3 linked regions of the Lonchura striata genome follow. The protein of the gene in region 3 purifies or fractionates together with the protein of the main gene of each other region. This does not show direct contact. Links are inferred from orthologs where the notes say so. Each region holds a gene or a part of one and is shown on either strand. Other genes may lie near its edges.

What was found.
Region 1: the proteins of OTUD5 (region 3) and MAPK1 purify together in Homo sapiens (affinity purification with mass spectrometry; 3 studies listed by BioGRID, with this or other methods). This does not show direct contact. The link is inferred for Lonchura striata from reciprocal best matches to the Homo sapiens genes OTUD5 and MAPK1.
Region 2: the proteins of OTUD5 (region 3) and dnaJ homolog subfamily A member 1 purify together in Homo sapiens (affinity purification with mass spectrometry, with the first as the bait; 3 studies listed by BioGRID). This does not show direct contact. The link is inferred for Lonchura striata from reciprocal best matches to the Homo sapiens genes OTUD5 and DNAJA1.

The regions. Positions count from the first base shown.
Region 1 is NC_134620.1:7,339,555-7,347,100, forward strand, and holds the start of MAPK1 (mitogen-activated protein kinase 1), read left to right. Parts: upstream 1-4,531; 5' UTR 4,532-4,743; coding exon 4,744-4,886; intron 4,887-7,546. UniProt on the Homo sapiens protein: Serine/threonine kinase which acts as an essential component of the MAP kinase signal transduction pathway. MAPK1/ERK2 and MAPK3/ERK1 are the 2 MAPKs which play an important role in the MAPK/ERK cascade.
Region 2 is NC_134642.1:48,010,396-48,018,146, forward strand, and holds the start of dnaJ homolog subfamily A member 1, read right to left. Parts: upstream 3,016-7,751; 5' UTR 2,868-3,015; coding exon 2,736-2,867; intron 2,625-2,735; coding exon 2,447-2,624; intron 1,382-2,446; coding exon 1,277-1,381; intron 1,181-1,276; coding exon 953-1,180; intron 1-952. Other genes in the region: APTX (aprataxin), read left to right, coding at 3,656-3,837, 4,671-4,807, 5,509-5,555, 6,982-7,293.
Region 3 is NC_134638.1:1,035,683-1,043,248, reverse strand, and holds the start of OTUD5 (OTU domain-containing protein 5), read right to left. Parts: upstream 3,018-7,566; 5' UTR 2,894-3,017; coding exon 2,870-2,893; intron 1,713-2,869; coding exon 1,619-1,712; intron 898-1,618; coding exon 833-897; intron 1-832. Other genes in the region: EBP (3-beta-hydroxysteroid-Delta(8),Delta(7)-isomerase), read right to left, coding at 5,367-5,575, 7,111-7,241, 7,327-7,363. UniProt on the Homo sapiens protein: Deubiquitinating enzyme that functions as a negative regulator of the innate immune system. Has peptidase activity towards 'Lys-48'- and 'Lys-63'-linked polyubiquitin chains. Can also cleave 'Lys-11'-linked ubiquitin chains (in vitro).

The sequences.
Region 1 (7,546 bases), on a different chromosome or scaffold from region 3:
AGGGAATTCTGCTTCCTTGCCACATGCCCAGGAAAGCCCAGAGTGACAGTTTGTATGTGGAACCTTCATCCAGAATTGCTGTGCTATTGGCCTGCAGCTTACTCTAAAGGCTGCCATGCACTTGTCATGGAATGTAAAGCCATTAATGCTGGCTGAATGTTCAACCCTGGTGAAAATCTCAGAGTGCCATTAGTGTACTGTTCCCTATCATTTGTTTCTGTTCAGCCACTGCCCATGGTTTAGATTACATCTAATCAAGGCAAGTAGGACGTGTACTTGTGCCACCAGAGTCATCGGCCGCACGCGTTTGTGCTGAACGTCACCCCAGCAGGCGCCGACGTCGGGGAAAGCAAGTCCTGGTGAGCTCTTTTTAGCAGGCCTGGCACCAGTCCCCAAACTGGTTCTCCCTGAATAGACTTGTGTGTCTGCCAGGGGCTTCCCTTGCACACAGCCAGATGCAGTGGGGTCTGGATATCACCCCTCCAACCAGGGCCCTTCTATTCCCACAGCTCAGTCCCACTGCCTATTCATTTTAATTGTAAGTTACATTCTCCCCCTCCATATTCTCTTTTATTCATTCTTGCATCACCCTTTTTCCTCTGTTTTCACATCAGCCAACCTCTTCATTACAAAAGTTCCCTACATTTTTTGCTATGAGCAAAAAGCATTAAAAATGCAATATTTAGACAACATAAAATCCTAATAATCCTGTTTTTACATGCTTTGACTTCTGCCTCTGCTGGAGGCATCACTTGTCCTGCCTACAGCTGAACCAAAAATAAATGTGGGGGAAACACACTGCATGTTCTAGTATTTGTAAATTATTAGACTTCTGAGGTTATGTAATAATTTTGTAAAATTATGTAAAAACTTTTAATTTCTTAGCAATCAATGATACCAGAAACAAAAGACTAGCTAAATCTTATTGTAAGAACTTAATAGCCTTCCAGTGTACAAGGCTTCAGCACGAGAAAACAGGGGTCATGTAGCAGGACCTCAGTGAAGACTCACAAGTCGCTGTAATATGCTGTGTAAATACTTAATATGCGTATGTTTCATTTTGCCAGTCCTGTAAATTAACTTTTTATCTGGTTATTCAGTTCTCTTATCATCCTCAGCTTGTTTACTGAATTTCATGTCTTGGGCAAGATGAAGCAAGCTCATGAGGAGTAGCTGGTTTTCAAAAGATACAAGCTCCAGATAACTGAGGACAAGTAAGGCACACAACAATATTGAAATCACTCAGAGTTTTATTGCAGCTGACTGAGACAGAGTGTGCTTTGAGGCTGGGAAATTTCCATTCCTGAACTGCAGGACAGTGCCTGGATACTGCTACAACTGCAGTTGAAAAATAAAAGCAACTTAATTTTATACAGACAGCTACAAAATGTTAGTATATTAATTAAAATAGCTAGATTTATATTATAAGCTTTTAAGGTTGCTGTAAAATAGATCCCTTTAAAAATATTTAGAGTATGATTGTAAATTACTTGTTCAAAACTAAAGAATATGAAAATGATTTGAAATTGCAACTGTGTTTTCAAACTGTATTTGTGAACAGCAAAACTAACCAGAACATGATAGATAATACAAGACATCTCCTACAACAGTGACAGGTTCTGACAGTGACAGAATGATACCCAGTGCAGGATCAAGGCTGTTACTGACAGAATCATTCTGCAATTAATAATCTTTTGTGCTCCCCTTGGCATGCACAGAACAACCACAGCAATCTGTTTTCTCATCTTAACTCCATGGTGTCTAAGCTCCATGTAAAGTCTGCCAGAATGTTGAATGCAGAAAAAAAGAAATACTGGGGAGGAAAGTAAATTTTTTCTGGCACCAAGGCCCAGCAGTGTGGATGAGAGATTGTTTTTAACCTCCCAGCAGTGCAAGATTACAGCAATAGCCTCATTTTCATTAAGGTCGTTTTACACTGCGAAAGCAGTGGTCATTCACATGAAGATGAGTCTCAAGGGATTTCTGATGTGTGTCACCTGTTCTGTCAAGCCCAGGTAGGTACTGACTAGAAGTTATTACCAGCTGATGCTCTTTCTGAATCTTAGGATAGTTCCCTGTGGATCAGAGCTCATATCTAAGCAATTTCAAGAACCATCACCATGGTTCCTGAGTGCCTTAGAAGTTAAAATATATCTTTATAAAACATTTTAACATGTCTTATTTCTCTCTCTCATCACCCCCGCACAAAGGCTTGAGGTCTTTTTAAATAATTCTGGTAAAACTGTATGTACTTAATGCCAGTGTTTGATTGGGATGATGGGGAGGTTCAGGTTTATGCTGACATACTTGTACAACAGCTACCAAGAAAGCCACGGCTGCAAATCACACAACCGGTATAATTATGATGATTTTAGGAGATGTGGCTTCAGTTTTAAATTAGCACAAAGATCTGAGATGCCTCCCACCCCCACTACAGAGGGACACCATAGGGCAGCTCCATGCTGTTTGTCCTCAGCCTGACCCAGCACTGCTGATCCCAGGGCTCAGGGGCCCTGTGGTACAATGTTCCCTTTTCAAGAGACCTATTTACAGAACAAGAATTAACAGTTAAAGCAGAAACGAGTAACAGTGCAGGGAATTTCTAGATCCTGATTGTAGGATGAACTCATTCATGTGACTCCTGAACTTGACTGAAGATGGAGACAGTCCAAACCATGACGTATTTACACTGACTTAGCTAATGGCTTAGCTTTTTCTTAATATTCCTGTTTCTGCTTACACAAACTCTTCTCTGTTCAAAATAAAAAGGTCTTTTCCTTCTGCTTCTCATTATCTGCTATAATTTTTTAGTAAGTATCACCTCTTCTCCCCCTTCATTTTGATCATGGAACTCATAATTTTCTTAAAACATGTTTATGTGCTTTCCAAAATTGAGGCTTTTATGTCACCTTATTAAGGCAAAAGACCCAACATTAAGTGCAGGTAATGGCAGTGTATTTAAGTAGGGTGAAAACTGATTGATACCACTCCCATCTGCTCTGCCTATCTCAGCAACTGCAGAGCTTCACTGAAACACTGCACCCAGTTCTGCCATGGGAGGAGTTGTTGGGAGAGCATGCTGTAGCCTCTGACCATTTACTCGGGTTTAATTGGATTAGACATATATTTGAACACAGTGCTCAAAAGAGCTGACAGTCCTTCCACGATTTCCTGGCCTGCCTGGTTGGTTTCCTTTTTGATCAGACACATCCCACGAAGGTAGAAAATAATTTAGATATACACCAGTTTTTAATTAAATTTAGTATGGCAGGCTGTGTTTAAGCTACATTCTCCATAATAATTTGTTTTGCATTTGCTAATGACAGAGTTATATATGTATGTAACAGAACTGTAAGCAAATTTTCATTTTTAGAGTTAAAAGAACCTTTAAAATAATACTGTACTTGGTTTCAGAAAATTGAAACACTTGCATTTACTGGTGTCTGAAATTTCTGAGAAAAAGAATGCTGTGTGTCTGAAGTGCAGAACGCATCACGAAACAAAAACCATCATAGACATGTAAAAATTAATACATCAGAAGCATTATCCCACCCAAATATACAAACCACGAGCTGTAGAGTCGAATGCCTGTTAAAGACAGAGGCGAGTTTGTTGGATTTTGGTGCTTGTCCCTGACAGGTTTCCCTCCATCAGCCGAGGCTGGGTGGCTCCCGGAGCCCTGGGGCAGCCGGGGGCGCAGCCGGAGCCGGGACTGCGCTCCCCGCCCCGGGCACCACTGAGGCGGCTCGGCCGACGGCAAAGGAGCCGGGTCGGAGCAGGAAGGGCCGGGAGAAGGCGGGATGCCAGAAACGACCTCGGCGAGTTGGGAGAAGCGAGGCATCGCCGGGGCCATGGGTGCGGACAGACGCGAAGCAGCGGAGATGCTGGCAGAGAAAATATCAGTAGTAACCACGGTTAGTACTTCTGTCAGGGTCATTAGAGAACTGCTGGAAAGGGCAGAACTGGAGTTAAGATCCTTGTGCATGAAGCCCTGCAAACAAGGAAAAAGCTGTTTCAGGAAAACTCTGCCTTGCAGAAAACCAGAAAAGATACGGCACGGTTGCAAGCAGTACTCAAACCATGACTAACCTTCAGCTGAGATTTTACCTCCCCTACAAAGTTTATTTACATTTATACGGGAAGCAGCGAACAGGAAAACGTCATTACATGTAAAAACATTATGCTGAAAAGAGTTTGCAGAACCGTGTGAAGCCGGGAAGGGTCACAAACGAAGTCGCGCTCATGGCAGGGCGGAGCGGGCTGAGGGCGGCCGGGCCCGGCTCCATTTCCCGCCCGTCACCTGACGCCTCTAATGGCGCCGCGCGGCCACGTGACCCGCCGCGCGCCCCACGTGACCCGCGGCCGCCGCGCCCCCTCCCCAGCGGCTGCGGTTACCGCAGTCCCCGGCCCCGCCCCCGGCCCCGCCCCCTGCGCGCGCGGCCCCGCCCCGCGCCGCTCCCTGCGCGCGCGTCCTCGCCCCCCCCGCTCCCCCCTTGCACCTCCCGGGCCGGGCGGTGCGCGCGCGCGGCCGGCGGCGCCTCCTCAGAGCGGCCGCGGCGGGTTCGGCGCTGACGGGGCCGGCGGGCCGAGAGCGGCGGAGCGGCCGGAGCGGGCGGCGCCTCTTCCTCCCTCCTCCTTCTCCTCCTCCTCCTCTCTCCTCCCTCCCGCATCCTCCTCCTCGCCCCCCTCCTCGCCCGCCTCCGCCCCCCCGCACGCAGCACCGCGGTTCCCGGCACGGACAACATGGCGGCGGTGTCGGGGGCAGGGGCTGCGGGCGGCTCCGCCAGCGCCGGCGGCCCGGAGATGGTGCGGGGACAAGTGTTCGACGTGGGGCCGCGCTACACCAACCTCTCCTACATCGGCGAGGGGGCCTACGGCATGGTGTGGTGAGTGCAGCCGCCGGGGCAGCGCCCTTGCCCCGGACAACTCCCTCCTCCCTTCCCTCCCTCCTTCCCGCCGCCCTGCCCGGCCGCGGGCCTGGCCCGCCCTTGCCCTCGGGGAGGGGGAGCAGCTCTGCCTCCCGCTCCTCAGCTCTGCCTCCTCTCCGTGTTCCCGAGGCTGTCTCTCCGGCATCACCCTTCTTTCCCTCCCTTCACCCCCCCATCCCTCGGTCGGTGGGTGCAGCTGAGCGTCTCGTTTCGTTTCGCTCCTGCGTTTATTTTCTTTAAATCTTGTGCCTCTGGAGTTGGTCGCTCTCGTTATTTCCTCCGTCTCCGTAGTGCGATTGCAGACGTTCAGGAAGGGGAGGAGGTAGTAAATCCTGCTGGCAGCCCCGCGTCCCTTCCAGTGCCCTGCGAGGGCTCACCTGGCTGCAGCAGCCGAGGTCGCGGGGATAAAAAAGGTGAATCCGAGCATAGGAGTTGCTGCCGCTGCCTGACTTTGCTCAGGACGTGCTGTCTGTGCTGCAGAGCTGGCCGGATTAGTGCCTGCCTTATTGTGTGCAGGTGAAAGTTATCTTCAGCCTTCCTAGGTCTAAATTATATTGTATTATAAAGACTTAGTCTGAGTCTCGCTGAAAAGCGATCGTGTAGGTTTGCTGTGGGTAACATCGGTCTTACAGAGAGCCGTGAACGAACTACAAAAAACGTGAACTAACTGGATTGAGAGTGTGAGATGGATTTTTTAGCAGTCTCAATGAGCTGGGGTGATGCTGTCTGATCTGTGCATCTAATGACTAGGTTATTAACCTGGCATGCTCAGTAGCCTTACTTAGGATTTCATATTTTGTCTTCCATTAGTTAAAAAAACCCTGTAGTCCTGAAATAACTTAAGGGATGCAGATAAAAAATTCTTTTTTATTGCTGTTTTATCAACTTCTTTGCAACGCTGCCTCTGTTTCTTCAGTATGATTTTTGACCAGAAGTACTAAAAGCAACTTACAGGCTGTGACTTAATGAAAGCTTTATCAGCATTAATTTCTCTCTCTGATGGGGAATCTTTTGTAAAGCAGTGTATTTCTCAGCGAGGACACCTCACAGCCTTCAGCTGTGTGCTACATAGATTTTTATAGCTGTAGGTTTTTGCACATAGTCACTGAATTGTGCTGGCCTGTCAGGATGAAGTCGTTGTGTGTTTCAGGGAGGGGGCTTTCATCTAGGCCTGAGTTCAGCTGGGAGATGAGCCTCTCTCAGAGTTTTGTGTTGTGGCCTTCACTTTTCTTACTTTGCTGTGGGAAGATTCTTCAAAATGTAAATCAAAAATCCTATTTACTGTATAAAAAATATCCTTGTTATTGTTTCAGTGTTAGAAATCACAGCAATATATCTAGTCCAAAATTTGTTGATATATCTTCTGGTACAGGCTGTATTTTATTATGGTTATTTTATCATCTGGAGCAGTGTAAGGAAATGAATGCAGATAATCTCAGTAGTGGCTGCACTGGTTTGCATTCACAGTCAGGTTTTTGAAGGTCCTGGGGAGTAGCGTAGCTGAGGTGTGTGCTGGGGACAGTCCAGTTGACTTCAATGGGGTGTTAAAAACTGGGTTTCACAATCAAAGTGAAAAGCTAAAATATTTCACCACAGATGAGGGACTGCAAGAAGCAGCATGATGGCAGTTGATGCCCTTTTTTGGCATCCCTGTGCCAGTGTTCAGATACAGGGGAAACGGGGCCACTTCTGCCCCTCCAAATGGTGTGTGGTAAACTTCTACACTGAAGCTGTTTCCACTCTAAATCCAAAAGACTGATTTTTATTTGAAAACTTCTTCTGATACTTTGTGTCTGCTGTGAATGCTGTGCAAAATCACTATCAAATTGATAATTTCCAAATCTCCAGTTCAGCTGAAATACACACTTGGCTCCTTGCACTTGTCTGTAAAATTATTAACATAAAATGCCACATTATGTATTTTGTGCTTGTGATTATTGCTCTTGTGCCTTGGGTGTGAAATGACAGGGAACAAAGTCTCAGTTTATGGCGTGTACACGATCAGGAAAGTGTTGGATGCACTTGTAGCAGTGCCATAGCAGCTGTGCCCTATTGTGGTGACTGCGATGAAATGCGATTGCCTATCAATCCCAGCCATGCAGGTTGAGCAGTTTACTGCTCTGTGTTTCTTGTTTTGCTCTGGTTGCTAATGCAGTGAGGATCTGCAGAAGCTTCTCCCTCAGGGGGTGGGGTAGAGGGCAAGCTGTGAGTGTGCAGATGGAGATGTTTCCTGCAACTGCAAAATCCATTTAAATTTGTACACGTTAATAAAGGAAAGCAAAGCAGGTCCTGATGGTTTTGTTTTAGACCCACAGCTAATGTGGAGCTCTTTGGAGATGATGGTTATTTACAAGTGCACTGTGCCATAAGGCTTGTTACTTGGCAAACGAGTGTCTTTTGAATCTTAAAATCCTTCACTCTCTCTCTTGTTTTATCCTGATTCTTATGTTTCTACATTATTGGATTAGGGATTTGAAAACAATAAAATGCTTTCGATTATATGAGTAAAAGGGCAAATGAAGTATTCTTAGGACAGTGCTGTTATGGCCAGTCTTCCATTTTGATTTTGCAGCAGAGAGAATAATGTTTGAGAAATATTGATCACAACATAAAATACC
Region 2 (7,751 bases), on a different chromosome or scaffold from region 3:
GATCTGATTGCCTGCCAAGTCCAAGAAGCATTCCCTATGGACTGAAAACCTCCCATAAGAAACTTGTTTCACCCACACAAGAAATCGATTGAACAAAAATACTAGCTTTCTTATCCTACATAAATCTTTTCCCTTACTTCTATAAAAACATCCTTCTCATAAGACTTCCCTGTTCAAAATATCAGTAATACATCCCTTCTAGACCTTATATTTACTACCACTATGGATCTCCCCTACAAATTCAGGTGCTGCAGAAGCTCTGCTTACACATGTAACAGCTGCAGGCCATAATCACAAGCAAGACCGTTTAAGTCATGTACTTGTCAGCGTGCTCTGCCTTACAAGCTGCATTACTCCAGACTTCTCCCACCAGCTTTTGGGCAGCCCCCTCAACAGAGATGCATTTGTCATTCAATACCATTCCGTTCACCCATCACGTTGAGGGTTTGTGTATTGAGGTGCATTTTGCCAGGCAAGGAAGTGGTACCTGCATTGGGCAGCACTGTCAGGGCTGCGTAGTCAACAGAGCTTTAAGCATGAGAGCCTTAGCACTGTCTGTGCACCCTGCCACTATAGCAGACCTGGCTCCCCTTCACACTGAAACACAGCGGAAGTGATCAGTCTGCAGTTTTGCTGCACGCAGTGAAAATTGATTGTGTTACCTGATCACAAATTGGGCTTAGAGGGACCTGAAAAATAATTCACTTCTTACAATAACGCAGGTTTCAGAATTCATTCTTAGTTATGTGCCAGGCTTTAGAAGTGAACAGAGATAGTGGACCTTCCCTAGAAAATAAGTCTACTTTTGTAAGGCAGCAGTAAGCAATTTTACTGTGTATTCAGCACTATTACTCACAAAATCAACACCACATTTGCTAAAGCTTTTGTTTTAGTGCTGCAAAGTCAGTCAGTACATTCAAGTTCAATACTTCACCTCAGTAAGACACCTCACCTTTGTCAATGTGAACTTCCAGTATCTTCTTCTCTCGAACAATTTTTCTGCCATTGCAGCTCTTACACCGGTCCTTGGGGCTGATACGCTCCCCATGCCCCTGACACTCAATACACACAGACTGGATCTGCTGCACCATTCCTGGCCCAATCTGGTGAATTCTGATCTGCATGCCTGTTCCCCTACAATTAGGGCAGCATTCTACAGCACCTTTCTTACCACCACGACCTGAGAACAAAAAATGGAGTTAGGTGGTTATGTGCTACCAGAAAAAAATCCCCCAAAGCTTTAGAAACATCTCTTTAATTTCAGTTTCAACATTACCTTCACATTTGTCACAGATAATGTTTTTCTGCAGTGCAAGTTTCCTCATCGCACCATTGTACATATCTTCTAAACTTACTGACAACTGGTGGACTACGTTTTTACCTGTAAAAGAACAGAACTTAATTAAAGTTTAGAAGCTTGGTTGGCACATCTCCCTGCCAAGCCAAGATAAACTAAGTCTCTGGGCTTCAGTATCTTGTATCGATAGAGGTTTGTCTTGTTTTGCTTGTATTAGTCAAAAGCTTCTTCCCAGGTGCTGTCATATTAGGTAACAGTTGTCATGACTTTGACTTTGTTAAAGTCAGAAGAGACCTTCTGGAAAAGTACAAACAAGTATGAGCAACAGAACACACAGAACCTCAAACGTTTAAGTTTTATAATGCAGGACTCAGGTTTCAACAAAGTCACCAAAAAGATCTACAAACAAGGCAGAGACTCTGTTTGGAATCTCCATTTCAGCACTTCCTTCCTCTCACCAGGTGACCTTCTGGAAGCAAAAATAAGCAATTATATTTTTACCCTCAAGAACTCCTTAGCACTTCAGCTGCTGTAGGCCTAGTTTTGTAAATGATGCTGAGCTCTGGGTTATTACAAGTACTTTGACACTCTTAACATTTTGATACAAAACATTTTTTCTTCATCTTTTCAACAGATCTTCACTAAGAGGTGACAGGCTCAGCACTGCTCTTAACAGCTTTAAAGTTTTTCCCAGCGTGATTAAACTGGAGTTTAACTTCTGGGTAGCATTTTACCGCAGTTTCAACTTAATTCCACTGCACAGTGCAGGAACACAGAAAAATTTCACAGACTGAACTGGATCTTGATATCTGATTTAGATAGTTGCTTTTAGATACTACAGTTACAGTAACTTAATTAGTAAACCATTTTAAGCTACTTTACCCTTCCATTTCCTATTTTGTCTACTAGCAGCTGGGCTTACACTCAAGCTAAAAGTACTCCGAACACACCTGCTTTAGCGATTAACAGGGGACAGTGCACAGGGATACCCAACTACCACCACACCAACCAAGGGCCCTCCCTTGGTGTTTCAGGTGTTAAGGGACAAGAGTTTTCTCCAATTTTCAGATTAAGTCTATAATTTCTGTTTAAACTCCTACATCTAAGGCATTCCCCTCAGAGAATCTGATACCCTCGCCAACACGTTACCTCGCCTCTCCCTCTGCATCCTTCCTCCACCGCCGAAGAACATATCGAATATGTCCATGGGTGACCCGAAGCCGCCGCCGGAGCCACCCTCCTTGATAGCCTGTTCGCCTCCTTTGTCATAGAGCTCTCTCTTCTTCGGGTCCGACAGCACTTCGTAAGCTTGCGAGATCTGCTTGAACTGCAGAAAGAACAGCACCGGCACTCAGGCACCCGCGGCACCCCCGGCGGGCCTCCCGCCCGACCCCTCCCGCGCGGCCCCCCCCGCCCCGGCCCGTCCCGTCCCGCCGACCTTCTCGCCCTCATTGGGGTTCTTGTCCGGGTGGTACTTGAGTGCGAGCTTGCGGTAGGCCTTCTTCAGCTCCTCGGCGGATGCGTTGGGCTTCACGCCCAGCACGTCGTAGTAGGTGGTCTCCTTCACCATGGCGGTGGCGGCACGGGGGTCCCGGGGCGGCGGTCGCGGATCCCACTCCGCGCAGCTCCGATCCCGACTCTTCTGGAAAGTTCGGGCCGGGCCCGCAGCCCCGCCGCTTCAGCAGCCGGCCCCGCCCCGGAAGTCCTGCCCCGCCGCGCGCAGGGCCCGGGCGAGTGGCCCACCAATGGCTGCTCAGGAGGGGAAGGCGCTTGGCCAATCTGCGCCCGCCTCCGCCGCCGATCTGGAGCGCGGCCCCGCCCCGCCCCGCGTGGGCGGCGCCGTCCCTGCCCAGCGTCCGCCTCGCCTTGCGCCTGCGCCGTCGGCCGCTCCCGCCCTCGAAGGCTCTGAGTAGCACCGGGTACGCAGCGCCGGCCCGGCCGTCGCCTTCCGGCAACGCTCCGCGCCTTACCCCCCTCACCCTACGCAGACTTGGCTCCGCCGCCGCAAGGCCGGCCGGCACTGCCCCTTTGTGAGGGCCCAGCGCCCACCCCCGGGTGCGCGGGCCCAGTGCGCCTGCGCGGAGCTACGCGCCGCGGCGGGCGCCTCCCTCTAGTCACGTGGGAGACACGCTGCCACAGCTGATTGGCTGCAGTGGCGGCTGCGGCGGCGCGAACATCACGCGCGCGGTAAGGGGGAGGGGTCGGTCAGGCGTTGCCATGGGAACGGGGCCCACGGGGATGGGCGTGTTCCCGTGGGGATGGGCGTGTGCCGTGGGGATGGGCATGTTCCCGTGGGGATGGGCGTGTGCCGTGGGGATGGATGGGCGTGTGCCGTGGGGATGGGCGTGTGCCGTGGGGATGGGTGTGTGCCGTGGGGATGGGCGTGTTCCCGTGGGGATGGGTGTGTGCCGTGGGGATGGATGGGTGTGTGCCGTGGGGATGGGTGTGTGCCGTGGGGATGGGCGTGTGCCGTGGGGATGGGCGTGTTCCCGTGGGGATGGGTGTGTGCCGTGGGGATGGGCGTGTTCCCGTGGGGATGGGTGTGTGCCGTGGGGATGGGCATGTTCCCGTGGGGATGGGTGTGTGCCGTGGGGATGGGCATGTTCCCGTGGGGATGGGTGTGTGCCGTGGGGATGGATGGGTGTGTGCCGTGGGGATGGATGGGTGTGTGCCGTGGGGATGGGCGTGTGCCGTGGGGATGGATGGGTGTGTGCCGTGGGGATGGGTGTGTGCCGTGGGGATGGACGTGTGCCGTGGGGATGGGTGTGTGCCGTGGGGATGGACGTGTGCCGTGGGGATGGGTGTGTGGCATGCCAGCGTTAGACTGGGGACCGAGCCTTGCTTTCCGCAGGCATGAGCTCTCCAGTGCAGAGCTCATGAGGGATCTTTACCAGGGTCAAACTGATGTAAGCTTGAAGGTTACATGGCATGGTCCGTGTGCTGACTGTTGCTGGATGAAGCTGTCACAACTCTCTCATCATGTGTTGTCTTCTGCTGCTCTCTCTTATTTTGGTTGTTAAATTAATCTCTTCGGTGAACTCTGATTCAGTGGGAAACAAAGTGACGTTTTTTGTGGTTAGGCTCTTCTGTCAGATGGAACTGTCAATAAAATTGATTTTTCCTATATATGGTTCACAGATGTGAGAATGTATGGTAGTGTAGGAAGGAAAACAGTATTGCCCTTTCAAACAGCAACCTGCTCTTGGATTATGCAAGTGCTGGTGACATGGTTTGCTTTGCATTTCAGAAACTTGAACCAAGTTAATAGAATTGGCTAACCTAATGGTAGCAGAATTCATGGACCATGTTCCACAGCAAGGTAGCCCATCAGAAAGTGGCGTGTTGGTAACACACTGTTTATTTTGCTCTATAGCACAGTGATGCGTATGTGCTGGCTTGTGAGCAAAGAGAAATGCACTCAGCGGGTGAAACTGCCACACTTGGAACCTGTGGTAATTGGGCGTGGCCCAGAGACTGGGATAACAGATAAGAAGTGTTCACGTCAGCAAGGTAAGGTGATTTAGCTCAAATCCTGCTTTCCACGTGCAGCAGCAACTGAGCGTGCCTTGTTCCTCTGTGTGTTCTGCAGTGTTGCCTGCTTCTTGAAGTCATCAAGCCTTTTTAATAAGCACTTATGGGGATCTCTGGGGCCTACAAAATCAGAGACAGGACGTCCGCCTCCACATACAAAAGCTTTTTGTGAGTTCCCAGGCCCACAATTGTGTTTCACTGCTCACTTCATGAGCAGCACTTCTTCTCCCTAGTATTCCACCAACTGATTTTTAGCATAATTATTATTTAATATGTAAAATAATGTGATCTTGGAGAATATATGAAAATACCTATCACTTATTTAATACTGCACATCTTCCCTGTGTTATATTCTGTGCCTCTGGACACAGTCTTGCTCTATGCCTTATTGTCCCAGTGGGCTGGTTAGAATGTCAAGCATATGTATAAATATCAACAGAATCCACCTTTGTTCCAAAGTAATTCCACCCTTGGCTCAGTGTATGGGTTGACTCTGTTTTACCTGTGGTATGAGAAGAGGTATGAAGAGATGAGGCAGAAATATTCTTGGCATGCATTCACAAAGATTAGCTCCAGAAAGATATGGCTCTTCAAAAAGAGGAGTGTTTTCTGGACTGGGTGGTTCAGCAGAGTTCTTTTTATTTACATGGTTTTGTGACACTTTGTTCTTTCTTTTCCAGTTCAGTTAAAAGCAGACTGTAACAAGGGTTATGTCACAGTTAAACAGGTATGTTTTTATGCATGGATCTCCAATATTTCTGGTACTGGGACAGTTGTACTTAACTCCACAACTGCTCCAAGTGGTGATTCTAATCACGGTGTCTGAGGGACCTGAAGTTTTCTTATCACCAAGAGAAGTTACAGCAAGTGTATTTTCTTATTTGTGCACCTCAGTGAGAGGTTGCACTATTCATTCCAGATACATTCCAGTCTAACACAGCCAGATTTGTAGCATCAGGGAATGCTGTTGTGAGTACTCAATCAGTTCTGTTGGGTGCTGCATTTGAGAGACTTTGGACTTCTTCTACTAAACTTGCTTATCTTTTTCCTGAGCCTTAAACTTCATAAGCTGAGGCAGCCCTTTGTTTAAGGTTGAAGTTCTTGTGTTAATGGGACTATGCAGTTGTAGAACATTTTTATTGGTGGACTGATAGGGCCAGAGATGTGGTTACTTATAGGAAGGGATGGGATGTAAGACAGCCCTGCAGGAATGTTACCAGATGGATGGAGGCAGGCCTATTCCCTCACACTTTACAAAACCCAGTCTCTGAGAGAATAGGAAGGGAAAGGTCTCTGGTACTGCTGCTTGTGTGTGTGAAGAGTTGCTCCCCAGGTGAGAGATGTGTGGCACAAGGTTCCAGTGATCAGTTGTTTGATACTTTATTCACTGATGGGAAGCATCCTTGACTTGAGGGAAACTGCATAGCTGTAGACTAAAGAGATCCTGGCTGGAATCAGGTGTGTGCTTCATTGCAGTGAATTCCAAGTGAGAGGTATAGTACTGTCTTGTGAAGCATGCAGGTATGGCAGTGACAAAGCTAGCAAAAACTCTGAGTTCATCAGTCACAGAAGAGAGCTGATTTCCTAAAACCCGTTTTGTGCATATACATTAACCAAAAGCATTTTGCTGAAGACTCCTAATTTTTGTAAGGTCACCTACATGATGATGCAAAATCCATCTGTCAAGCAATCTCTGTAGGTTGCCTACAACACAGTTTGATTGCACAAAAATAATTTGCTAAAACTACAGTTGCTCTTCAGAAATAGTTGCTGTTGTTACTTCATGTAACAGTTGTTACAGTTGTTACATGTAACAGTTGTAACTAGTTGTTTCATAGGTGTCTAATTTGTGAGGGAAGTGCAGCACAAGTGATGCTGTAACTGTGTAGCTGCTGCAGACCCAGGCTCCTTCTGATGGCAGGCCCTGAGGTTGTGTGCTGACAGCTGTGACTGCAAGACTGGGACAGAAACAGACGTCCACAGTGCTTCACTGCCTGGTTGGCTAAAGTGGGTTGATGTGGGCAGGCTGGGCGATGAATGCAGAATGCATTTGCTTTCTAGGATAATGGTATTCCAGGAGAACTGAGCAGAAGTTGGCGATTCCACTTACAACATAATTTTCTACTATTTTTTCCTTTTCCTGTCTACCAAAGATAGGGGTCAACCCAACTAGTGTTGATCTTGTGAATATTGGCAAGGATGAAGTGGTAAAAATGAAGCCAGGCCAAGTTCTGCATATTGTAAATAATCTTTACCCCTATGTGGTGGAATTTGCCGAAGAGTCTGGGAAAACTGTTTCAAAAGCAGACAAGATGCCACATGAGGACTCCTGTGAGAATGATGATATAGAGCTTGTGCCCAGAAAAACAATGAAGTTGGAGGTGGTGGATACACAAGGCAGTTCTACAAATCCAAAGCTAAGCAATACCAAAGTATCTACACATGAAGGAGCTTTGAGCCAAAAGGCAAGTGTGCTGGTGTTAATTCTTGTGCTGTTTCTCCTGGGGTTGTCGCCTCCATGGGGAGACATTGTCTTTTGCTTTTGTCCATTCTGCTGGTGGCAGGCATCTCTGGTGAACACAGGTCCTCAAAGTATAAAGATCCTGACATCACCTACACCCTGGGAAAGTCACTTAGGACCCATTCTAACCTGACCTGAAGGTTAGGTGTGTGTGTGTGAGGGGGCTTCCCTGTAGCAAGTGAGGATTTAATCTCTGGTTTTGGCTGCAGTTTCTGCTAGAAGGACTGTCCACGTGAGCTCCACTTAGCTGCAGTCACCCAAGGACACTGTCCTGGCTCTTGAGTGGTTATCTAAAAGCAAGTGCACAGAGAACTGAACAATGTGAGCCTTTCGTTTTTAAGATTTATTTATTTGTAATTGCATGGGGCTTTTTTCTCCTCCTTATTTGTTCACTTCATATGG
Region 3 (7,566 bases):
GTGGGGATGGTGGGGACATTGGGGATGGTGGGGACACGGGGACAGGCTGGGGACGGTGGGGACATGGGGACAGTGGGGACATTGGGGATGGTGGGGACATTGGGGACATTGGGGACATGGGGACAGTGGGGACAGGCTGGGGACACGGACACGGGGGGGACATTGGGGACACAGGACAGCTGGGGACACTGGGAACACAGGGATGTTGGGGACATTGTGGACACGGGGACAGGCTGGAGACATTAGGGACAGGCTGGGGACACAGGACAGGCTGGGGACAGTGGGGACAGGCTGAAGACATTGGGGACATTGGGGACAGCTGGGGACATGGGGACACTGGGGACAGGCTGGGGACAGTGGGGACATGGGGACACTGGGGACACTGGGGACAGGCTGGGGACAGTGGGGACATGGGGACACTGGGGACACTGGGGACACTGGGGACAGGCTGGGGACACTGGGGACACTGGGGACAGGCTGGGGACAGTGGGGACACAGACACGAGGGGGACATTGGGGACACAGGGACAGGCTGGGGACACGGGGACGTTGGGGACAGTGGAGACACGGACATTTGGGACAGGCTGAGGAGGGACACACTGGGACAGCCCTGGGGACACTGGGGGAGGGAACAGCAGCCTGCTCCCCCCAGGGCTCTGAGCACCCTCCCAGTCCATCCCAGTTCCTCCCAGTCCATCCCAATTCCCTCCCAGTGCCATCCAGTGCCCACCACTGCCCTCCCCAGTCCCTCCCAGTTCCATCCCAGTTTTCCCCAGTCGATCCCAGTCCCCTCCCAGTCCATCCCAGTCCATCCCAGTTCCCCAGTTCCTCACCAGGTAGTCCATGCAGTGCTTCCTCACCACCTCGTGCATGTCCTGGTCTCCGTACACCTGATCGGCTGGGGGGACACACAGGTGACATTGGGGGGACACAGGTGACATTGGGGGGGATGGACAGGTGACATTGGGGGGGACGGACAGGTGACATTGGGGGGACACAGAGGTGACATTGGGGGGACACAGGTGACATTGGGGGGGATGGGCAGGGGGCATTGGGGGGACATGCAGGTGACATTGGGGGGGGACGGGCAGGTGACATTGGGGGGGGGACGGGCAGGTGACATTGGGGGGACATGCAGATGACAGTTGGGGGTCTGTGGGGGATTTTTGGGGGGGATTTTTGGGGGATTTTTGAGGGGATTTTTGAGGGGATTTTTGAGGGGATTTTTGGGGGGGATTTTTGGGGGGGGTCTGTGGGGGATTTTTGAGGGGATTTTTGGGGGGATTTTTGGGGGGGATTTTTTGGAGGGATTTTTGGGGGGATTTTTGGGGGGATTTTTGGGGGGGATTTTTGGGGGGTCTGTGGGGGATTTTTGGGGAGATTTTTGGGGGGATTTTTGGGGGGATTTTTGGGGGTGTCTGTGGGGGATTTTTGGGGGGATTTTTGGGGGGATTTTTGGGGGGATTTTTGGGGGGATTTTTGGGGGGGTCTGTGGGGGATTTTTTGGGGGGATTTTTGGGGGGGATTTTTTGGAGGGATTTTTGGGGGGATTTTTGGGGGGGTCTGTGGGGGATTTTTGGGGGGATTTTTGGGGGATTCGGGATGGTTTCGGGGCTCACCCACGGCCCGGAACAGGCAGGCCCCATCCTCCTTCATGCGCTTGATGATGAAGCCTTTCTTCTCCCGCAGCGCCTTCTCGAACCGGTGCTCCTGCTGGAGACACAGCCGGGCTCGGGGGGGTCCCGGGGGGCCCTCGGGACATTCGGGGGTCCCTCGGGGCATTTGGGGGGTCCCTGGGGGTCCTTCGGGTCATTGGGGGGGGCACAGGATGAGGGGAGCTGAGGGAGCCACAGGGGATGAGGGGTGGGGTCACAATGGGGGGAAAAAGGTGGGGGGGTCAGGGAGGTTCTTAAGGATGGGGGGGGGTCCTGGGGGGGTTTAGAGGTCCCTTGGGCCATTTGGGGGGTCCCTGGGGGTCCCCTGGGTCATTGGGGGGGGTACGAGTTGGGGGGAGCTGAGGGAGCCACAGGGGATGAGGGGTGGGGGCCAAAAACGGGGGGTTCAGGGGGGTTCTTGGGGATGGGGGGGGTCCTTTAAGGATTTGGGGGGTCCCCCGGGTTATTTGGGGGGGGTATGAGAGGGGGAAACTGAGGCAGCCACAGGGGATGAGGGGTGGGGGTCCAATGGGGGGGTCCCGGGGGTGTCACCGAGAGGGGACACTGGGAATGGGGGGGGTGGGGGGGAAAACTTTGGGGGACAGGGAAGGGTCCCAAAGCGGGGGATGGGGCACCCAAAGCGGGGACAATTTGGGGACAATTTGGGGACAATTTGGGAACAAACGGCAGCAAAATGGGGACGGCGACAACCCCGCATGGGGGGGGGCGGCAACATCGGGGACACCGAACCCCGGCAGGACCCCCGGTGTCCTCCCGGTGTCCCCCCGACATCCCCTGATGTCACCCAGTGTCCCCCAGTCCTCCCCAGTGTCCCCCCAGTGTCCCTCGCTGTCCCCCCGGTATCTCCCGGTGTCCCCCCCCGGCCCTCCCCCGCGTCCCGGTGTCCCCCCGGTGTCCCCTCGCTACTCCCGGTATCCCCAGATGCCCCCGCGCTGTCCCCGCCGGTGCTCCCCGGTGTCTCCCGGTGTCTCCCGGTGCTCCCTCGTGTCCCCCCGGTATCCCCGGTCCCCTCCCCTGTAGCCCGGTCCCTCCCCGGTGTCCCCGGATGTCCCCGCGCTGTCCCCTCGCTAATCCCGGTGTCTCCCCGCTGTCCCCCCAGTCCTCCCCGCTGTCCCCCCGGTATCTCCCGCTGTTCCCCCGGTATCTCCCGCTGTCCCCCCGCTGTCCCCGCTGTCCCCGCCGCTCTCCCCGCACCTGCTCGGCCGTGGCCGGGTCCATCTCCACCCTGCCGGCCTCGTACTCGTCCTCGCTGTTGTAGCCGCCGCCCGCCTCGTCGGGCCCGGGGCTGCCGCAGCCGGGGCCCAGCCCCAGGCCGAGCGCGATGCCGCCGGGGCCCGGTCCCGCGGGGCCGCCGCCGCTGGGCCCGGCCCCGCCGCGCCGCCGCCGCTTGCTGTGCCCGGGGCCGCCGCCGCCGCCGCCGCAGCCGCCGGGCCCGCGGGGCTCGGGCAGCCCCAGCGCCGCCGCCTCCAGCCCCAGCAGCGCCGCGGGGCCGTCGGCCGAGCCGGGCCCGCCGCTACCGGCGCCGCCGGGCCCCGCGGGCGGGGGGGACCCGGCGGCCGCGGCCCAGCCCCGCAGCGGCGGCGGCGGCGAGGCGCGAGGCCGCGGCCCCCCCACGCCGCCGGGGCCGCCGGCTTCGCCGACGCCTCCGGGGCCTCGCTCGGGCCCCGCGTCCGCTCCGCGCTCGGGCCCCGCGTCCGGGCCGGAGTCGCCGTCGCCGTCGGGAGCCGGTACCGGCTTCTTCTTGGGGAGGATCGTCATGGCGGGGCGCGCATGGGGCGGGGGCGGGGGGCGGGCCGGGGGCGCGCGGCGCGGCGCGGGGCGCGGCGGGGCCGGGGCGCGGCGGCGGCGGCGGCGGCGGCGGGGCCGGGGCCGCCCCGGCGCTGAGGGGCCGCGGGCGCTGCGGCCGCCGGGGCCGTGTCAACATCAACAGCCGCCACCTCCGACCCCGCGCGCGCTTCCGCCTCGCCCGCGGCGCGCCGCGCCATTGGCTGCCGCGGGAGAAGGAGCGCTCCGATTGGTCCGCAGCCGGGAGGAAGTCCCGCCTTTCTTCTCCTCCGCCTCCGTGAGGGGAGGCGGGATGGGCGTTGCCATGGGGATGGAAGGGGAGAGCGCGGATTGGGCGAGGCGGGGAGGGACGGGCGGTGATTGGTTGGTTTTGGGGGAGGGAGGGGAGGGGGGAGGGAGGTGATTGGTTGGTGGAGGTGCCGGTTGAGCGGAGAGGGGAGGGGTGGATCGGTGTAAACGTGAGCGCTGATTGGGTGGCGGCACGTCAATCATCGCTGGGCGGGAGCAGCGAGGAGACGCCGAGCGTTGATTGGCGCGGGCTTAAACCCCGCCCACGTCGCCACCTTATTGGCTACAGCGAACGACCTAATTTCCTATTGGCTCAGGCGCGGCAGGGGCGGAGCCCAGCTGGGATCCCGCCCCTTTGAGGACCCCACTCATCTGTCAATCACCCACAAGCCCCGCCCCTTCCCCGCCCTCCCACGTGGTCCAACCCCCCAGGACCCCCCCCAGGAACCCCAAAAACTCACCAGAAACCCCCAAAACTAACCAGGACCCCCCAAAACCCCCCAAGACCCCCCCAGGACCCCCCAGAAACCGCCCAGGACCCCCCAAAAAACCCCCAGGAACCCCAAAAACTCACCAGAAACCCCCAAAACTCACCAGGACCACCCAAAACCCCCCCAGGACTCCCCAAAAACTCCTCAGTACTACCCCAAATCCATCAAGAGACCCCAAAAACCCTCCAGGTACCCCAAAAATGTGCCAGAACCCCCCCAAAGCCCCCCAAAACCCATCAGAACCCCCCAAAAAACCTCCAAAAGCAGAGCCCGAGCTCCATTTCCAGCTCCTTTATTCAAACCCATCCCTGCCCCCCAGGAACGAGGGACATTCCCACGGAAGACCCCCAAAAACGAGGTGGGGATGCCCCAAATTTAGGTGGGGACCCCGAGAACAAAGCTGAGACCCCCAAAAACGAGGGGGAGGTCCCCGTGGGGAACACGGGGGGCTCCGACCGCTCTCCCTGAGCTTTTTTGGGGGGGTCCCAAAATTCATCTCCAGGACCCTCCCGGTGCTGAACCTTCCCACGGGGGGGTTCCCCGATGCTGAGGGGGGGTCCCTCAGTCTGGGGGGGTTCCCTCACCCCTGGGTGGGGGTCTCAGTGGCCTTATGGTGGGGTCCCTCACCCCATGGGGGTCCCTCACCCCTGGGTGGGGGTCTCTCACCCCTGGGTGGGGGTCTCAGTGGCCTTGTGGCGGGGCGGGTCATGGGGGGTCCCTCACCCCTGGGTGGGGGTCTCTCACCCCTGGGTGGGGGTCTCAGTGGGCCTTTGTGGCGGGGCCGGTCATGGGGAGGTCCCTCACCCCATGGGGGGGTCCCTCACCCCTGAGTGGGGGTCTCAGTGGCCTTGTGGCAGGGCCTGTTGTGGGGGGGTCCCTCACCCCATGGGGGGTCCCTCACCCCTGGGTGGGGGTCCCTCACCCCTGGGTGGGGGTCTCAGTGGCCTTATGGTGGGGTCCCTCACCCCATGGGGGTCCCTCACCCCTGGGTGGGGGTCTCAGTGGGCCTTGTGGCGGGGTCCCTCACCCCTGGGTGGGGGTCCCTCACCCCTGGGTGGGGGTCTCAGTGGCCTTGTGGCGGGGTCCCTCACCCCTGGGTGGGGGTCCCTCACCCCTGGGTGGGGGTCTCAGTGGGCCTTGTGGCGGGGCCGGTCGTGGCCGCGCTGGGCCCGGGCCAGCTGCCGCCCGGCGTCCACGAGCAGCAGGCCGGGCACCAGCAGCCAGAGCCCGTTGAGCCCCACGAAGTAGCCCCAGAAGTAGAGGGGCCGCGGGTCACTGTGCGCCCAGCCCGCCCGCGCCTCCGTGGCGAAGTACAGCACGTCCCCGTAGAGCTGGCCTGCGGCGGGGACAGGCAGGGCATGGGGACAGGGACAGGCAGGGCATGGGGACAGGGACAGGGACAGGCAGGACATGGGGATGGGGACAGGGACAGGCAGGACATGGGGACAGAGACAGGGACAGGCAGGACATGGGGACAGGGACAGGCAGGACATGGGGACAGGGACAGGGACAGGCAGGGCATGGGGATGGGGACAGGGACAGAGGGACAGGGACAGGCAGGGCATGGGGACAGGGACAGTCAGGGCATGGGGACAGGCAGGGCATGGGGACAGGCAGGGCAGGGGGACAGGCAGGGCAGGGGGACAGGGACAGGCAGGGCATGGGGACAGGGACAGGCAGGACATGGGGACAGGGACAGGGACAGGCAGGGCATGGGGACAGAGACAGGCAGGGCATGGGGACAGGGACAGGGACAGGCAGGGCATGGGGACAGGGACAGCCAGGGCATGGGGACAGGCAGGGCATGGGGACAGGCAGGGCAGGGGGACAGGGACAGGGACAGGCAGGGCATGGGGACAGGGACAGGGACAGGCAGGGCATGGGGATGGGGACAGGGACAGGCAGGGCATGGGGATGGGGACAGGGACAGAGGGACAGGGACAGGCAGGGCATGGGGACAGGGACAGGCAGGGCACGGGGACAGGGACAGGCAGGGCATGGGGACTGTCAGGGCATGGGGACAGTCAGGGGGAACACGGGACAGGGACTGGAGATGGAGACAGCCTGGGGACGGGGACAGCCAGGGGATGGGGACAGCTTGAGGGGGACAGGAACAGGGAACGTCAAGGGGGGACAGCCTGAGGAGGACAGGGACAGGAGACAGGGGACAGGGACAGCCTGAGGGGGACAGGAACAGGGAACAGGGACAGTCTGAGGGGGACAGGGACAGGAGACAGGGGACAGGGACACTCTGAGGGGGACAGGGAAAGGAGACAGCAGACAGGGACAGTCTGAGGGGGACAGGGACAGCCTGGGGGGGACAGGGACAGGAGACAGTCTGAGGAGGACAGGGACAGTCACGGGGGGACAGGAGACAGGGGACAGCCTGGGGGGACAGGGACAGCCTGGGGGGGACAGGGACAGGAGACAGGGGACAGCCTGGGGGAACAGGGACAGCCTGAGGGGGACAGGGACAGGAGACAGGGGACAGGGACAGCCTGGCGGGACAGGGACAGCCTGGGGGGACAGGGACAGGAGACAGGGGACAGGGACAGCCTGGCGGGACAGGGACAGCCTGGGGGGGACAGGGACAGGAGACAGGGGACAGTCTGGGGGAACAGGGACAGTCTGAGTGGGACAGGGACAGCCTGAGGGGGACAGGGACAGGAGACAGGGGACAGGGGACAGTCTGAGGGGGACAGGGACAGCCTGGGGGGACAGGGACAGCCTGAGGGGGACAGGGGACAGTCTGAGGGGGACAGGGACAGCCTGGGGGGACAGGGACAGCCTGAGGGGGACAGGGACAGGAGACAGGGACAGCCTGGGGGGACAGGGACAGTCTGGGGGGACAGGGACGTGGCCGCGCCGTACCCAGGGACACGATGAGCTGCAGCACGAAGCGCGCCGGGTGCTGCCGCAGCAGCGCCAGGAAGGTGAGGAAGCTGAGGGGACCCCAGGCCCAGGCTGTCACCGTCTCCATGGCCACCGTGAAGTCATCGCTCCTGCGGGGACACCCCGGGGTGGCGGGTCACCCGGGGACACCGGGGACGGGCCACCCCTCCCCGTGTCCCCGCGTCCCCAACTCACGTCATGTAGCGGCTGTCGGCCTTGGCGTATTCCTTCCCTGCCGATTTGGGGAGGGGTCACCGGGGTGGGGGGGGAAGGGGACCCCCACAGCCCCCAGGGGACACCCAGGACGCGGCTGTGCCCTGCCACCAGCCCAGGGACCCCTCAGACACCCCAGGGACCCCTCCCCACATATCCAGGGACCCACTCAGATGCCCCCAGGACCCCTCCCCACATATCCAGGGACCCCTCAGATGCCCC